3 linked regions of the Macaca fascicularis genome follow. The protein of the gene in region 1 interacts with the protein of each later gene in a pairwise test. Links are inferred from orthologs where the notes say so. Each region holds a gene or a part of one and is shown on either strand. Other genes may lie near its edges.

Evidence for each region.
Region 2: the proteins of BAG3 (region 1) and LITAF interact in binary tests that used the Homo sapiens proteins (3 or more experiments, as listed by UniProt). The two-hybrid records come from large-scale screens. The link is inferred for Macaca fascicularis from reciprocal best matches to the Homo sapiens genes BAG3 and LITAF.
Region 3: the proteins of BAG3 (region 1) and ARRDC3 interact in binary tests that used the Homo sapiens proteins (3 or more experiments, as listed by UniProt). The two-hybrid records come from large-scale screens. The link is inferred for Macaca fascicularis from reciprocal best matches to the Homo sapiens genes BAG3 and ARRDC3.

What each region holds. Positions count from the first base shown.
Region 1 is NC_088383.1:128,663,251-128,667,626, forward strand, and holds the start of BAG3 (BAG family molecular chaperone regulator 3), read left to right. Parts: upstream 1-1,458; 5' UTR 1,459-1,754; coding exon 1,755-1,934; intron 1,935-2,453; exon of another isoform or gene 2,454-4,376. UniProt on the Homo sapiens protein: Co-chaperone and adapter protein that connects different classes of molecular chaperones including heat shock proteins 70 (HSP70s), e.g. HSPA1A/HSP70 or HSPA8/HSC70, and small heat shock proteins (sHSPs), e.g. HSPB8.
Region 2 is NC_088394.1:12,312,257-12,316,481, reverse strand, and holds the start of LITAF (lipopolysaccharide-induced tumor necrosis factor-alpha factor), read left to right. Parts: upstream 1-1,366; 5' UTR 1,367-1,479; intron 1,480-3,261; 5' UTR 3,262-3,522; intron 3,523-4,225.
Region 3 is NC_088380.1:95,376,109-95,380,268, reverse strand, and holds the start of ARRDC3 (arrestin domain-containing protein 3), read left to right. Parts: upstream 1-1,360; 5' UTR 1,361-1,585; coding exon 1,586-1,865; intron 1,866-4,160. UniProt on the Homo sapiens protein: Adapter protein that plays a role in regulating cell-surface expression of adrenergic receptors and probably also other G protein-coupled receptors.

The sequences.
Region 1 (4,376 bases):
TTATTGAAAAACATCCATGTACAAGTGGACCTGCTCAGTTCAAACCCATGTTAAGGGTCAATTGTATAGTAATCTGTATGTATGTAACCTGGTGATGACCAGTCATTTCTCTTTTTCTTTCTCTCTCTTTCTTTTAAAGAGACAGGGTCTTGCTCTGTCGCTTAGGCTGGCATGAAAAGCACAATCACAGCTCATGGCAGCTTCAAACTCCTGGGCTCAAATGAGCCTCCCACATCAGCCTCCTGAGCAGCTGGGACTACAGGCATAAGCCACTGCACCTGGCTTATTTTTTGTTTTTGTGGAGATGGGGGTCTTACTGTATTGTTCCGGCTGGTCTCAAACTCCGGGACTCAAGAAGTCCTCCAGTTTTGGCCTTCCGAAGTGCTGGGGTTACAGGCATGAGCCATGGTGGCAAGCCCTCATCAGTTATTTTTCTATGATTCTGTCTCGCTGTCCCCTCCTTACAAGGAAAGTAATTTTGAAACAACCAATCCAGTCTTGGTTCTTTGTTTCTGCTTTCTTCAGCCCTTCTCTGTCTATAAAATCAACCTCTTCTGCTCAGCTCATGGGAGCACTTATTCTAATTTAATGGAGGTGTTGCCCAATTCTAGAATCACAAATAAAATTAAGATCTTTAACAACAAAAGTTAAAAAATGAGAATCAGCAACAACAACAACAGAAAAGATCTTTAAATGTGTTGTAATTTTCTCCTTTGACAGGTTACAAGTGCAATTGAATAAACCAAACAAAAAATGTCATGGTTAGGTTCGGTCTTTACTTCCCAAATGAGGGTCAAGATGTAAGACTGCAAGAACCAACTTCTACCATAAAAAAGATCCGAATCCAAGAAAATGTGATTTTTCTTTAAAGCTGTTCACCGCAACGAAAGTTTCTTTTTAGTCTAGGAGACTAAAAGCCATCAGCTGACACAATCTCTTTTTTTCTTGAAGTTTCCAAAGGAAGGCAGGTGAGTTTGCACTAACTTCCATTTTCTCCCTGGCTTCCTTCTGGTGTCAGATGAGCGTCCCCGCGCTCCTCCCGGACAGCCCTCATGGTCCCCGGCTATCATATATGGGGGGGTTGGGGGATGGGGGTGGGGTGGGGGTGGGCGAGATGGCTTTGTACAGGAAAGAGGGGCGGCAGGCACGGGGAGCACGGGCTCCAGCCCCAGGAACACTCAGTCGGCGCAAAGGAGAGGGAGAGAGCGAGTGCGAAAGCCGAAACCCTCCCGGGGCCACGGAGTAAGCCCCCAGTACCGCTCCTCCGGCGCCCCACCCGCAGGCGGACCCCGAAGACGCGCCCGCGCCCGCCCCCGGCGACTCCGGCCCGGGCACGCGCACGAGACGGCGGGGGGAGGGGCGGGAGAAGGTGGGGGAGGGGCGAGCGGGGAGAGGCCCCGCCCCGGCCCCTCAGCCCCGCCCGCCGCGATTATAGCCGATGACTCAGGGCGGAGCTCCGCGTCCAACCCCGGGCCGCGGCCAACTTCTCTGGACTGGACCAGAAGTTTCTAGCCGGCCAGTTGCTACCTCCCTTTATCGCCTCCTTCCCCTCTGGCACCGAGGAGGCTATTTCCAGACACTTCCACCCCTCTCTGGCCACGTCACCCCCGCCTTTAATTCATAAAGGTGCCCGGCGCCGGCTTCCCGGACACGTCGGCGGCAGAGAGGGGCCCACGGCGGCGGCCCGGCCAGAGACTCGGCGCCCGGAGCCCGCGCCCCACACCCGCGCCCCGGCGGGCAGACCCCGACCCAGCATGAGCGCCGCCACCCACTCGCCCATGATGCAGGTGGCGTCCGGCAACGGTGACCGCGACCCCCTGCCCCCCGGCTGGGAGATCAAGATCGACCCGCAGACCGGCTGGCCCTTTTTCGTGGACCACAACAGCCGTACCACGACGTGGAACGACCCGCGCGTGCCCTCTGAGGGCCCCAAGGTGAGCTGGGCCCGCGGCCCGCCCTGGTCGGCGGCGCCACCTCGACGGCAGGCGGCGGGGAGTGGGTTGGGCCGGGGGGACGCCAGGCGGCGGGGCCCGGTGGCCGGCGAAGGCCCCTTGCGGGCGGACACCGGCTCCGCGCCCCGCCACACACTCCCGGTGCTCCCGGACGAGTCCCCGCTCCGGACCCGCCCTTTACAGGAGTCGGGGCGAGAGGAGGCCCCGCGATCCGGTGGTCCGGGAAGCGACCCCGCAGTGGGTCCGGTGCCGTCCACGGCTCGACTCGGGGCGGAGGGCCGCGTGTCCGACGCTGGCCTCACGCTCCCGGGCTCGGAGGGGGCGGCCGGCCTGGTCAGCTCCGGAGGCTCCGGCCCGCCGCGGCCACTGCTGCCGGCTCGGCCTCCGGTCCCGGGACCCGCGGCGCACCCCGCTGACCGCGGACTCGAGGGGGACCCTCGCAAGCTTGGATGGTGGTTTTTGGGAGGAATTTTACCGCTCAAGTTCTCCAACTTGGTTGAGGGGTATCTTGTTTGCTGTCCCATCTTAGGCACCCAATGACTCAGGAGGCTGGTGTCAAAACATTCATATATATGTGCGCGCGCGTGTGTGTGTATTTTAAATTAAAATTGTATTATTGTTTGAAAGTGCTTTCAATACGAATGTATCCTAGTATGACTTGTAAAATATAAAAGAGGGTGCACTTCTCCCCAGCAGTTTCTAAACTAGAGATCTGAGACTTACAGTTGGCCATTGCCTTACCACATTGCCTCACACTGGAAAGAGAATGATACGTGTATATTTATAATGGCATTCGCTTCCTGCCTTGTTATGGTATTAAAATACTTAGAATTTGTTACCAGTACACAAATAACTGAGTAATGATACTCTTGGGAATACAGCAGAAGTATGTCTCATTTACATATATGCAACGATATTCCTAATCCCCAAGAGCATGAAATTTGAAAACGTAAATTTGGAATGAGTCTGTTAATTTTCAAAAATCATAGTTATACTATTCGTTCAATTTTATATAAATTTGAGCTTTCAAAATAAAAAGTTTTTTTAAAAAAAATGTTATACTTAAAGCGTAATTGTTACTGCCGTCTGGGCAAGATAAAAGCAGCAAAGAGCTGGTAAATTATTTTGAAGATTTTAAAACTCACCAAATTAAAAATACTTTGTAACCCATTATTTTAGAAGAAAGACCTGTATTATTTCCCTTCATTTTAATGCACTTTTTGTTTTAACAATATTGATAAAACTCCGGTGCCCAACAGTGAGACACTGTACAGGCAGCAGTTTACATTTACGAGAGATTACTTGTGTATTTATTCTTGAAAATTAATACAAGAGGCTGTAATTAGCTGGGGTGGGCACAGTTGCATATACCTTTTTGTGTGTGTGTTCAGCCCATTTTTGGGTGAAACTGACACTCATTTCAAACCACCTTTCTTAGGCGTCTGCGTGGATGTACCTGATCTTTAGTGTGGTTTGCAACTATTATTTTGAGGCCTTCTTCCTGTGGACATAGGGACAGTGGTATCTGCTGGCAGCCTTTGTTGTGAGTGAAGATCAAGTTTGAACATAGACATTCCCAGCACTTTGTTCTCAGCATGAAACTTACCCAGCAAGTTGAGATATTCCTGTACCCACCTGGTGCATGGGTTAGGCTGTGGTTTCATAAACCTTATTAAAAGAAAAAAAGCAGGTTTAGCTGCCATTATTCTTCTCAATAAATAAAAAGTAAGAACTATTACATCAGAAGTCTGATGCTGGAAAGGTTTCTTTGAAAATTTCATAGTCAAAATTTTTAAGTTGAAAGGTCCTTGAAGATCTCTTAGTTAGAAGATCTCTTATTTTCTGAAAAACCCAGAGAATTCAGGTGTGACTTTGAAGGTCATCCAGCTAGTACCAATTACAGGGAGAGAACTAATGTCAGGAAAGTTCTAGTAAGAGGTGGTGTGTCTGTTAGAAGTTGGAAGTGAATGTTTTGTGAAACTGAAGCATGCAGGCTAGAATACCTGATTATCTTTGTGCCCTCCTGGCCACCAAGTTATTGGGTCACTGACCTCTGTGCTGTGGTTGCTTGGATTTTGATGATGGGACGTCATCAACTCAAGAAAAGAGTTCTCTTTACGAAGTGAATGACTTGAGACTTGTCAGCATGGCACCAAAACTTAAGGAGAAAACTAACATTCAGCCCATTAGCTGTTTGTGCTTCATTGCTTTCAACCCTGTTCTTAGACGCACACAATATCTGGTTGCACTTGTGTGAATTACACCTTGCTGGAGACTAAATGTAGTGGAGAATCCTAGAATATCATTTTGTATTTGGAATGGGCTTCTCAATGCATCATGAGAAAAGGGCCCTTGCATAAAACAAAGGGTGGCTTTGGAGGAGCTGAGCTGAGGCCCGTGTGAGCATCATCATTTTCAAGAGGA
Region 2 (4,225 bases), on another chromosome or scaffold:
AATGAGACCCTGTCTGACTACCAAAAAAAAAAAGACAAGCTGGCCACGGGCAGGTAGGGGAAGGCACTGCCGCCCGAGAGACCTGAAGCTGTAGAGCAACAGGGACTCCCGTGTGCCTGGAGCAGGCGGGGCACAGGAGGTGGGTCGTGTGGTTTGCAATGAGGCCCAAGGGGTGTCCCCGCCAGAGCAGGGCCTGCGGAAGGCTGGGGTTTGTCATCAGGGCTTTAGAACATCATTGGCGAGTTTGAAGCACTTTCAAAGTAGCACTCAGGCCAAGGCCAAGGCCAGACTGCCTGTACCTCCTGCCAAGTTGCTCCTCGGAGAGGACCCAGATTTGTGCCCCAAACCAATCGATTGGTCATGCCAGTTGGGAGTACTTTTCCCATCCATAGGGGCTGAGGCTAGGAGGGGAAGTTGGGGAAGCCAGGACTCCCAAACACAGAGGTCTGGATCCCCCCAAGGCCACGGGTCTGGTTCCTATCTGGACTCTCATGACCTCCATTCTGCCGGGGTCCTGTGTGTCCGCCTCACACTCAGTGAGAAGGAGCAAGACCTGACCCAGGTAGAAGTGCACTCAGCGCCTGTGGGTGCTGGAATGAGTTCAGGAAGACACCGGAACTCCTTCTCTTCCCTCCCCAACACCTGGCGACTGATGGTAAATCTCCCACCATAGAGGCCAGGCCTGTGACACTTGGAGATGTTTGCAAAGCCATGATTCATTGAGCACTTGCCATGCGCCGGGCTGTTGGGGAAAAAGCGCCTAGCACATGGCCATGGTGATCCGTACCGCACCCCATGAGCTGTGCGCCCCTGGAGCTCCATGCAGGAGACTTGAGTCAACCCAGAATCAAGATTCGATCCCAGCTGCCTCGGCCTCTGAAGCCCTGGGCCCTCAAGCACTGAGCTCAGGAGTGTCTCTTTAATTCTTCCCACCCCGGCTGCAACCGGTTCACAAGCTCCTTCCCCAAAAGCAGGTGTGCAGCCAAGAAGAGGAAGGAAGGGGCCGGCGGCTTCAAGTGTAGCCGCTGACTGCTCACAGCTGTTTCCCACCCCTCACCCACCCTTCTTGGCAGCCCAGAGGGACCGACTGACCGAGGACAGGTCCTCAGCAGGGCCCCCTTGCCTCTGGGCAGGACTGACTCAGAAAACTCATGCTTCAGACCTGCCCTGGGATCAGGTCTCCAGCTGGGACCTGTCTGCTGTTCTTCCTCCTGCCCCTTGTCTCCTTACTCTCCTCTTCCGAGAACCCTCACTTCCAGAAAACCACATGCACCCACATCTCCATCACAGGCTCTGCTTCTAGGGAACCTCAACTAGGATGAGGTCATGTCTGACTTCCCGGCTGAGTGCCTTCCCCAAAGTCCTCAGTGTCCTGCAGACAGAGCCTCCTTCCCTGTGCTCAGCCTTCTGAGCCTTCCTCATCTGATGCCTGTGAAGCTCCCTTTGCTGCTGAGGTCCTGGGTGCCAGCTCAGCACTTGGTAAGAGGGGGTGAGGCCGGGTGCTGTGGCTCATGCCTGTAATCCCAGCACTCTGGGAGGGTGAGGCGGGAGGATTACTTGAGGCCAGGAGTTCAAGGCCAGTCTGGGCAAGATAGTGAGATGCCATTCTCTAAAAAAACTAAAATAGGCTGGGAGCAGTGACCCACGCCTGTAATTCCAGCACTTTGGGAGGCAAAGGTGGGCAGATCACTTGAGGTCAGGAGTTCGAGACCAGCCTGGCCAGCATGGCGAAACCCCATCTCTACTAAAATACAAAAATTAGCTGGGCATGGTGGTGTGCGCCTGAAATCCCAGCTACTAGGGATGCTGAGGCAGGAGAATCACTTGAACCCGGGAGGTGGAGGTTGCAGTGAGCCGAGAACACGCCACAGTACTCCAGCCTGGATGACAGAGCAAGACTCAGTCTCAAAAAATAAAAAGTAAAAAAAAAAAATAATAGCTAGCCGTGGTGGCACATACCTGTAATCTCAGCTACTTGGAGGCTGAGGCATGAAGATCCCTTGACTCTAGGAGTTTGAGGCTGCAACGAGCTATGATCGTGCCACTGCACTCCAGCCTGGGCAACAGAGCAAGAGCTTGGCTAAAAGAAAAAAAAAATTATAAAAATACAAAGGGTCAAGACCAACTTTGTCTTTTCCCTTTGATTGGATACTTTCAGTAAAAGCAAGATCTCCGGATGTCTCCTTGTGCGCTGAGAGCATCTACTGTGTGTTGATCTGGGTTGGGCGTTCTGCAAAGTGTTTACTTGGAACTCTAGAAAGAGTTCTCAGGACTCTTAGCTAGAAGTGAAAGGAGAGAAGACACGTGAACATGGAAAATCTGGGGCGGCCCCAGGTATAGCGAGTTATCTGGGGCCCCACCAACCTCAGGGCTGGTTGGGGCTGGGATGAGTCATGGCTGTTGGGCAGGATTACCTGCTTGAGAAACGAACCAGGTCTTATTTGGGTATTGATTCATTACAACAGAATGGGAAGTATTTTTCCCTTCCTGTGAATCTTTCAAGGAGCAACTGTGTCTTTGTGTTCTGCAGGACTGTGCTTGTTTTGGGCCAATGGAGAATCACAGGCTTTTTTTTTTTTTTTTTTGACAGAGTCTCAGTTTGTCGCCCAGGCTGGAGTACACTGATGCAATCTCACTGCAACCTCCGCCTCCTGGGTTCAAATGATTTCCTGCCTCAGTCTCCCGAGTAGCTGGGACTACAGGCGTGTGCTACCACGCCCAGCTAATTTTTGAATTTTTATTTATTTTTTGAGATGGAGTTTTGCTCTGTTACCCAGGCTGGAGCACAGTGGCACGTTCTCGGCTCACTGCAACCTCTGCCTCCCGGGTTCAAGTCATTCTCCTGCGTCAGCCTCCAGAGTAGCTGGGGCTACAGGCGTGCACCACCATACCTGGCTAATTTTTGTATTTTTAGTAGAGATGGCATTTTGCCATGTTGGCCAGGCTGGTCTCGAACTGCTGACCTCAGGTGATCTGCCCACCTCTGCCTCCCGAAATGCTGGGATTATAGGCATGAGCCACCGCACCCAGGCCTTGTGTTTTTTTAAGTCTAGTACATTAGTCAGGATGAATAGCAGAATGCTGCAAAAACCAGAATCCCACTGGAATTGGCTTATGCCATTGCAGAATGTATTGTGTCACTGGGAAGTGGGGAGGGCAAGAGCTTCAGGCCTGGCTGGATCCAGAAGCTCGGACCATGCTGTCAGGGACCTGTCTCCATCTCCAAGCCCTGCTGTTCTCCGTCTTGGATTCATTCTCCAGTGGGCTTGCTCTACCTGCTGGTAAAGATGGTGCCGGACAGCTCCAGGCTTTCATCTCACCAGCCTTGTAAACAATTCGTCTTATTCAAGGAGCTTCAGCAAGGGTCTTGGGGTTGATTGTCATTGGCTCAGCTTGGATCACATGCCCATCACTGGAGCAATCAATGAGGCTCAGGAGATGCTGGGTAGCTACTGGCCAGCCTTGGTCATGTGCATGACACAGCCCCTGGGGCTAGGAAGGAGCGACGCGTGTGCAGCAAAGGTAAGAGAGGCCGTCTACACCCGGGTTCCTAGGGGGGTGGGATCAGGTTGGAAGAAGCTTGTTTAGCCAGGCTTGGTGGTGTGTGCCTGTAGCCTCAGCCACTTGGGAAGCTGAGGTGGGAGGATCACCTGAGCCCGGGAGGTAGAGGCTACAGTGAGCCAAGATTGTGCCACTGTGTTCCAGCTTGGGTGACAGAGCAAACCCTGACTCAAAAACAAAAAAGAAGCTTGGTAGGGGGTGTCTGGGAAGGTAGGTATCTGAGAGGCAAGGGCTTCCCCCCTGTAGCAAGGGGCGCTCGCTCAGATCCCATCCGGCTTAAAGAAGCGAAGTTTCCATGGAAGAGTAAAGATACTGAAATGTAAGACGCATGAAAAAATCAAAGTGGAGAGGCCCTTTGTAGTTGACCTAGAACCATGTTATACGTGATGCATTAGGTCAGTGTTCAGGGTAACACTTTTCTGCATTAAAATAGGAAATAGAAACATTTTGGATTTTAAAAATAATTTGTCAGCTGTGCGTGGTGGCTCCCGCCTGTAATCCCAACACTGGGAGGCTGAGGCGGGCGGATCTCTTGAGGTCAGGAGTGTGAGACCAGCCTGGTCAACATGGTAAAATCCATCCCTAATAAAAATGCCAAATAAAAAAAAAATCGCCCGATGTGGTGGCAAGTGCCTGTAATCCCAGCTACTCAGGAGGCTGAGAC
Region 3 (4,160 bases), on another chromosome or scaffold:
ATATAGAGAGAGAGAGATAGCACCAGATTCATATTTTTTCTTTCTACATTTCTCTTGTAAGGCAGTTCTGTTGATTGCCAGTAATCTAGATGAGTTTATGCTGTTATGCTCTGAATCCCAGTGTGATGTGACGAAAGCACTGCTATTTTTTACCAAACATTCACAATAAAAAGAGAAATGTACCTATATTTAAGATGTATCATGAGAATTACTACGTTAAATGGTCCAAGGCTCTTTCGGCCGAAAATTAAAGCTTCACAGTTAACCCCTATTTATATACCAAATCATGCTTTTTAAAAACAATTTTATGCGCTTCACTAATTTCTAACAAAGATTTTCCGATTCTGTTGCAAACAATATGTCAGCTAAACCACTATGTCCTATGCCTTTTATAAGATGGTACTTTTTTAGGCCGAACTCTATTCTTATTCCTCTGGACACAGGAGTTGTAATCATGTCTTACTCTGCAAATCTAGCCGTAGGTGGTGTCTTAAAAAGGACTTTTTCTTCCTTCGAGGAAGTGGTCAAGCTTCCCCCCAGCCCCCACCCGTGTCATCCTGGAAACAACTTGGTTGTTTTTCGGTGCTATCTAATTAAGCGATGTAGGAGAAAGAAGTTGAGGAGACAAAAAAGCCTATTGATTACATTGTACTTGCTTCTCTACCTCGCTCTTCAAAGGACTAAGGTTCCTTTGACCTCGACTGAGTTCATTTCCACCCTGCCTACAAAGTACTGGTTTAAAAAATATATATATATATCCAAGCCAAGTATGCTCTTGTCTATGAACAATACTTCTTGTCCAGTTTTATTACGTTTTCTTTGAAAATTCGTTAGATTATGCTCAACAATCGGCCGCTTGCCCAACCGGTTTCTCCCTTCCCCCATCTCTCTTCACACATCACTTTTTCCTCCTCCCATCCAGGCAGTTGGTAAAACGCTGCAGTGCCAGTAACGCACGCTTTGGGGTGGTCACTGCAGTTTATCCTTACTTGGCTTTGCAAACTCCCCACCCAGGCCTTGTCCCCTCGCGCCCCACTCTGCCATTATCTTTCCAGTAGAGTGTGCTCGGTAAGGGGCTCCAGATAGCACGTCGAGGGTATACGGCAGCCTGCCTACCAATAGGAGCCCACAATGAAGAGAAGTCAGGTTCAGCCGGCCGGCAGCTCCAGTATCTCCTTCCCCTAACTCTACACCTACTGTACCCGGGAGCGAGCGAGCAAGGGAGGGAGCGAGCGCGGCGCGGCGCGGCGCGGGAGGGGGCGCGCAGGGAGGGCGGACAGCAGCCGCGGCCTGCGCTTGCGCATTGGGGTTGTTTTTCACAAAGCTGCTCTTAAAGTGAGCTGGCAGCCTTTAGCCGCCCGTCTTTGTAAGGAGACCACTGAGACGAGCGGGAGCGCGGAGCAGCAGCTTCTGCTGCCCTGACTTTTTAAGAAATCTCAATGAACTATTTGTAGAGAATCACTGATCCGGCCTGCAAGCATTTTGCACGGCAAAAATATCGATCAGTGTTAAGTGAAGATCACATTTTATATGCGATCTTGACTTTTTTGTCTTACATTATATTTTTATAGATTTTGTTATAAACATGGTGCTGGGAAAGGTGAAGAGTTTGACAATAAGCTTTGACTGTCTTAATGACAGCAATGTCCCTGTGTATTCTAGTGGGGATACTGTCTCAGGAAGGGTAAATTTAGAAGTTACTGGGGAAATCAGAGTAAAATCTCTTAAAATTCATGCAAGAGGGCATGCGAAAGTACGCTGGACTGAATCTAGAAACGCCGGCTCCAATACTGCCTATACACAGAATTACACTGAAGAAGTAGAATATTTCAACCATAAAGACATCTTAATTGGGCACGAAAGAGGTAAGTTTTTCTGTTATTCAGAAGTCATTGGACTCATTTTCTTTGGAAACGTACCTTTTCAGTTTTCTGAATTAACGTGATTCTACTCATAGTATAACTAAGCAGTTTGATAAAGGTTAGCAAAGTTGGAAGGTTTGGATTCTCCTTGACGTTCATCGTGTGTTAAGCCGTAATGCATGCAGGCATCTGCAAAGTGACTGCAAACTACACTTATTCAACTACCTCTATACCCGGCTTGGTCTGTGCCATACGCGCTTGTAGTCCATTTGCACCTTATAAATTCTGCTTGAATCCAATGCAATCGTTTTACTAATATATTTTCAAATGAATTGCTAAAAGCTGCAGTCTTAGATTTTTGCCCTTTTACTTGCAACCTAAGATGTAAAAACTAAACTTCAATCAAGAAATGTAATAACATTTTTAAGAGGCTTAATGGGCGTGTTTCATTTTTAATTTTGGAATGCAAAAGACTTTAAAGAATTGATCACTGTGCTTTCATAAAAGGTTTATGTGGCTTATTTTGACATATGGTATCAACACCCCACGTGTTTTTTCTCTATTCTTTCCCATTCCTTTAAAAATTTACACCCAGCATTCCTTATTTTAAAGGGTACTGTCTGTCATTATGATAGGTATCGAGTCAGTTTTAGAAGCCATTTAGGATCAGTAATTTTCTTTTCCGAGCATCATGTCTAACTTTGGAACGTGCATTCAATGAAACCCATGCCAGTCAAATGGAATTGAAAAGTATAGGGCACACTGGATTTGATTTTTGGTTAGAAGAGGGAGATAAAGGGTTGTCAAAGGGAGAAGGAGTCCTGAGATTTCCAATCTATTGTTTAAGTGGTTACATTGTGGAAATATAGGAGAGTCTAGGCTTGTTTTTCTAAGTTTCCACCCTTTGTTAGAAGCGGTTCAATCCTGTTTCGGACCAGTTCTGGGGGGTGGTGAGGAGGGGCGCTTGTTCTGCTCTCAGCAGATTGGTTACACGCGTCAGGTGGTGGCGATGACTTAATTCCTAGCCCAAGAAGAATATAATGTTAAAACTGGTTATGTAATTTTTGTGCCTCTCCTTTTTAATGCAGTATTTAGTTCAGATGTTGGCGATTTTTCAGAAAAAAATTAGAGCCATATTTTACCTTCTTTTTTATATTAAAAACGTACATCCTGGAGAGGTGCTGATGACTGAACTAAGGCAAGTGAGAAATGAAGGATGCTTTGAGGGGCAGTATTAATGCATGATTTCTGAAACTATTAAGGTGAACTCAGTTCTTTAGTAGGATTTTCGTAGATACAGGTACTTTGCATCCTGAAATAACTAATTAATGTCTCCAAGCGTTAACACTGATAGGAGATGCAGATGCCTAATGACAGTCTTGGTATTTGTTGAAAAGCAGATAGATGAGTTTGTGTTTCTACCTTTCTGAATATTGCAGCCTTTTATGAAATGGGTGAAAGAAACAGATTTTTCTTCAAGAGGTTGAGACTTGCAATGGGAGAAAAGTAGAACAATGAGTTGTGAGGACAAATATTTCATTAGTTACACCATGATTTCATGGTAAAGAAAACTAAATGCCCTGCACCCCCAACAAAATGCCCCCCCAAACCCTGCAACGCGTAGACGAGCTCAGTCTGGAATAGTTTCAATGACTTGAAACTGGGAGCTCTCAAACTAGCCTGGTAACTGAGACCCCGCCCCGGGCGCCCGGGATAGGCGGAGCCAGGTTTGTTAGCCTGTTGCTAAGGCGATGGCAGGCGCTGATTGGATTGGGCGCGGGCGGGTGGGGAGAGGGGGCTCGCGCCGCTGCTGGGGCGAGGCTAGGAAACCGGCGTGCGCCGGTAAAGGTCCCTCCAGAGCCACCCCCACCCAGTCCATACTCACGTTTGTTCCCGGGCTTCTGGGGGCGCCCGGCCCGTGTCACATCACGTTCTATCGCCCCTCTTTTGGGCCTGCTAAGGACCATCGAAAGGAAACGACTGCAGGCTTTAGCTGAGTTGAGGGCAGACGCTCCTGCCGGCCTTACAGGTGCCGGATGGCCCGGGACCCAACTTTAGTGGAAAATCCTTTTCAGATGGAATTTGGATGGGAAGGGTTGGCAGGACCCCCGTTAGCTATCTGCCGGGTAGGAGGTGTCAGGGGACTCCTGTGAACGCTTCTGAAACAAAGCGTGTTCCCCGACCTCTCCAGTCGCCACACTGGCTACCTTGAGTTGACCTGAGGGGACAGAGCAGAGGCTGGCCCGGGGAAGAAAGAAAATGATTCCAATATCGAAATCTAGGTGGGGGCTTCGAAGG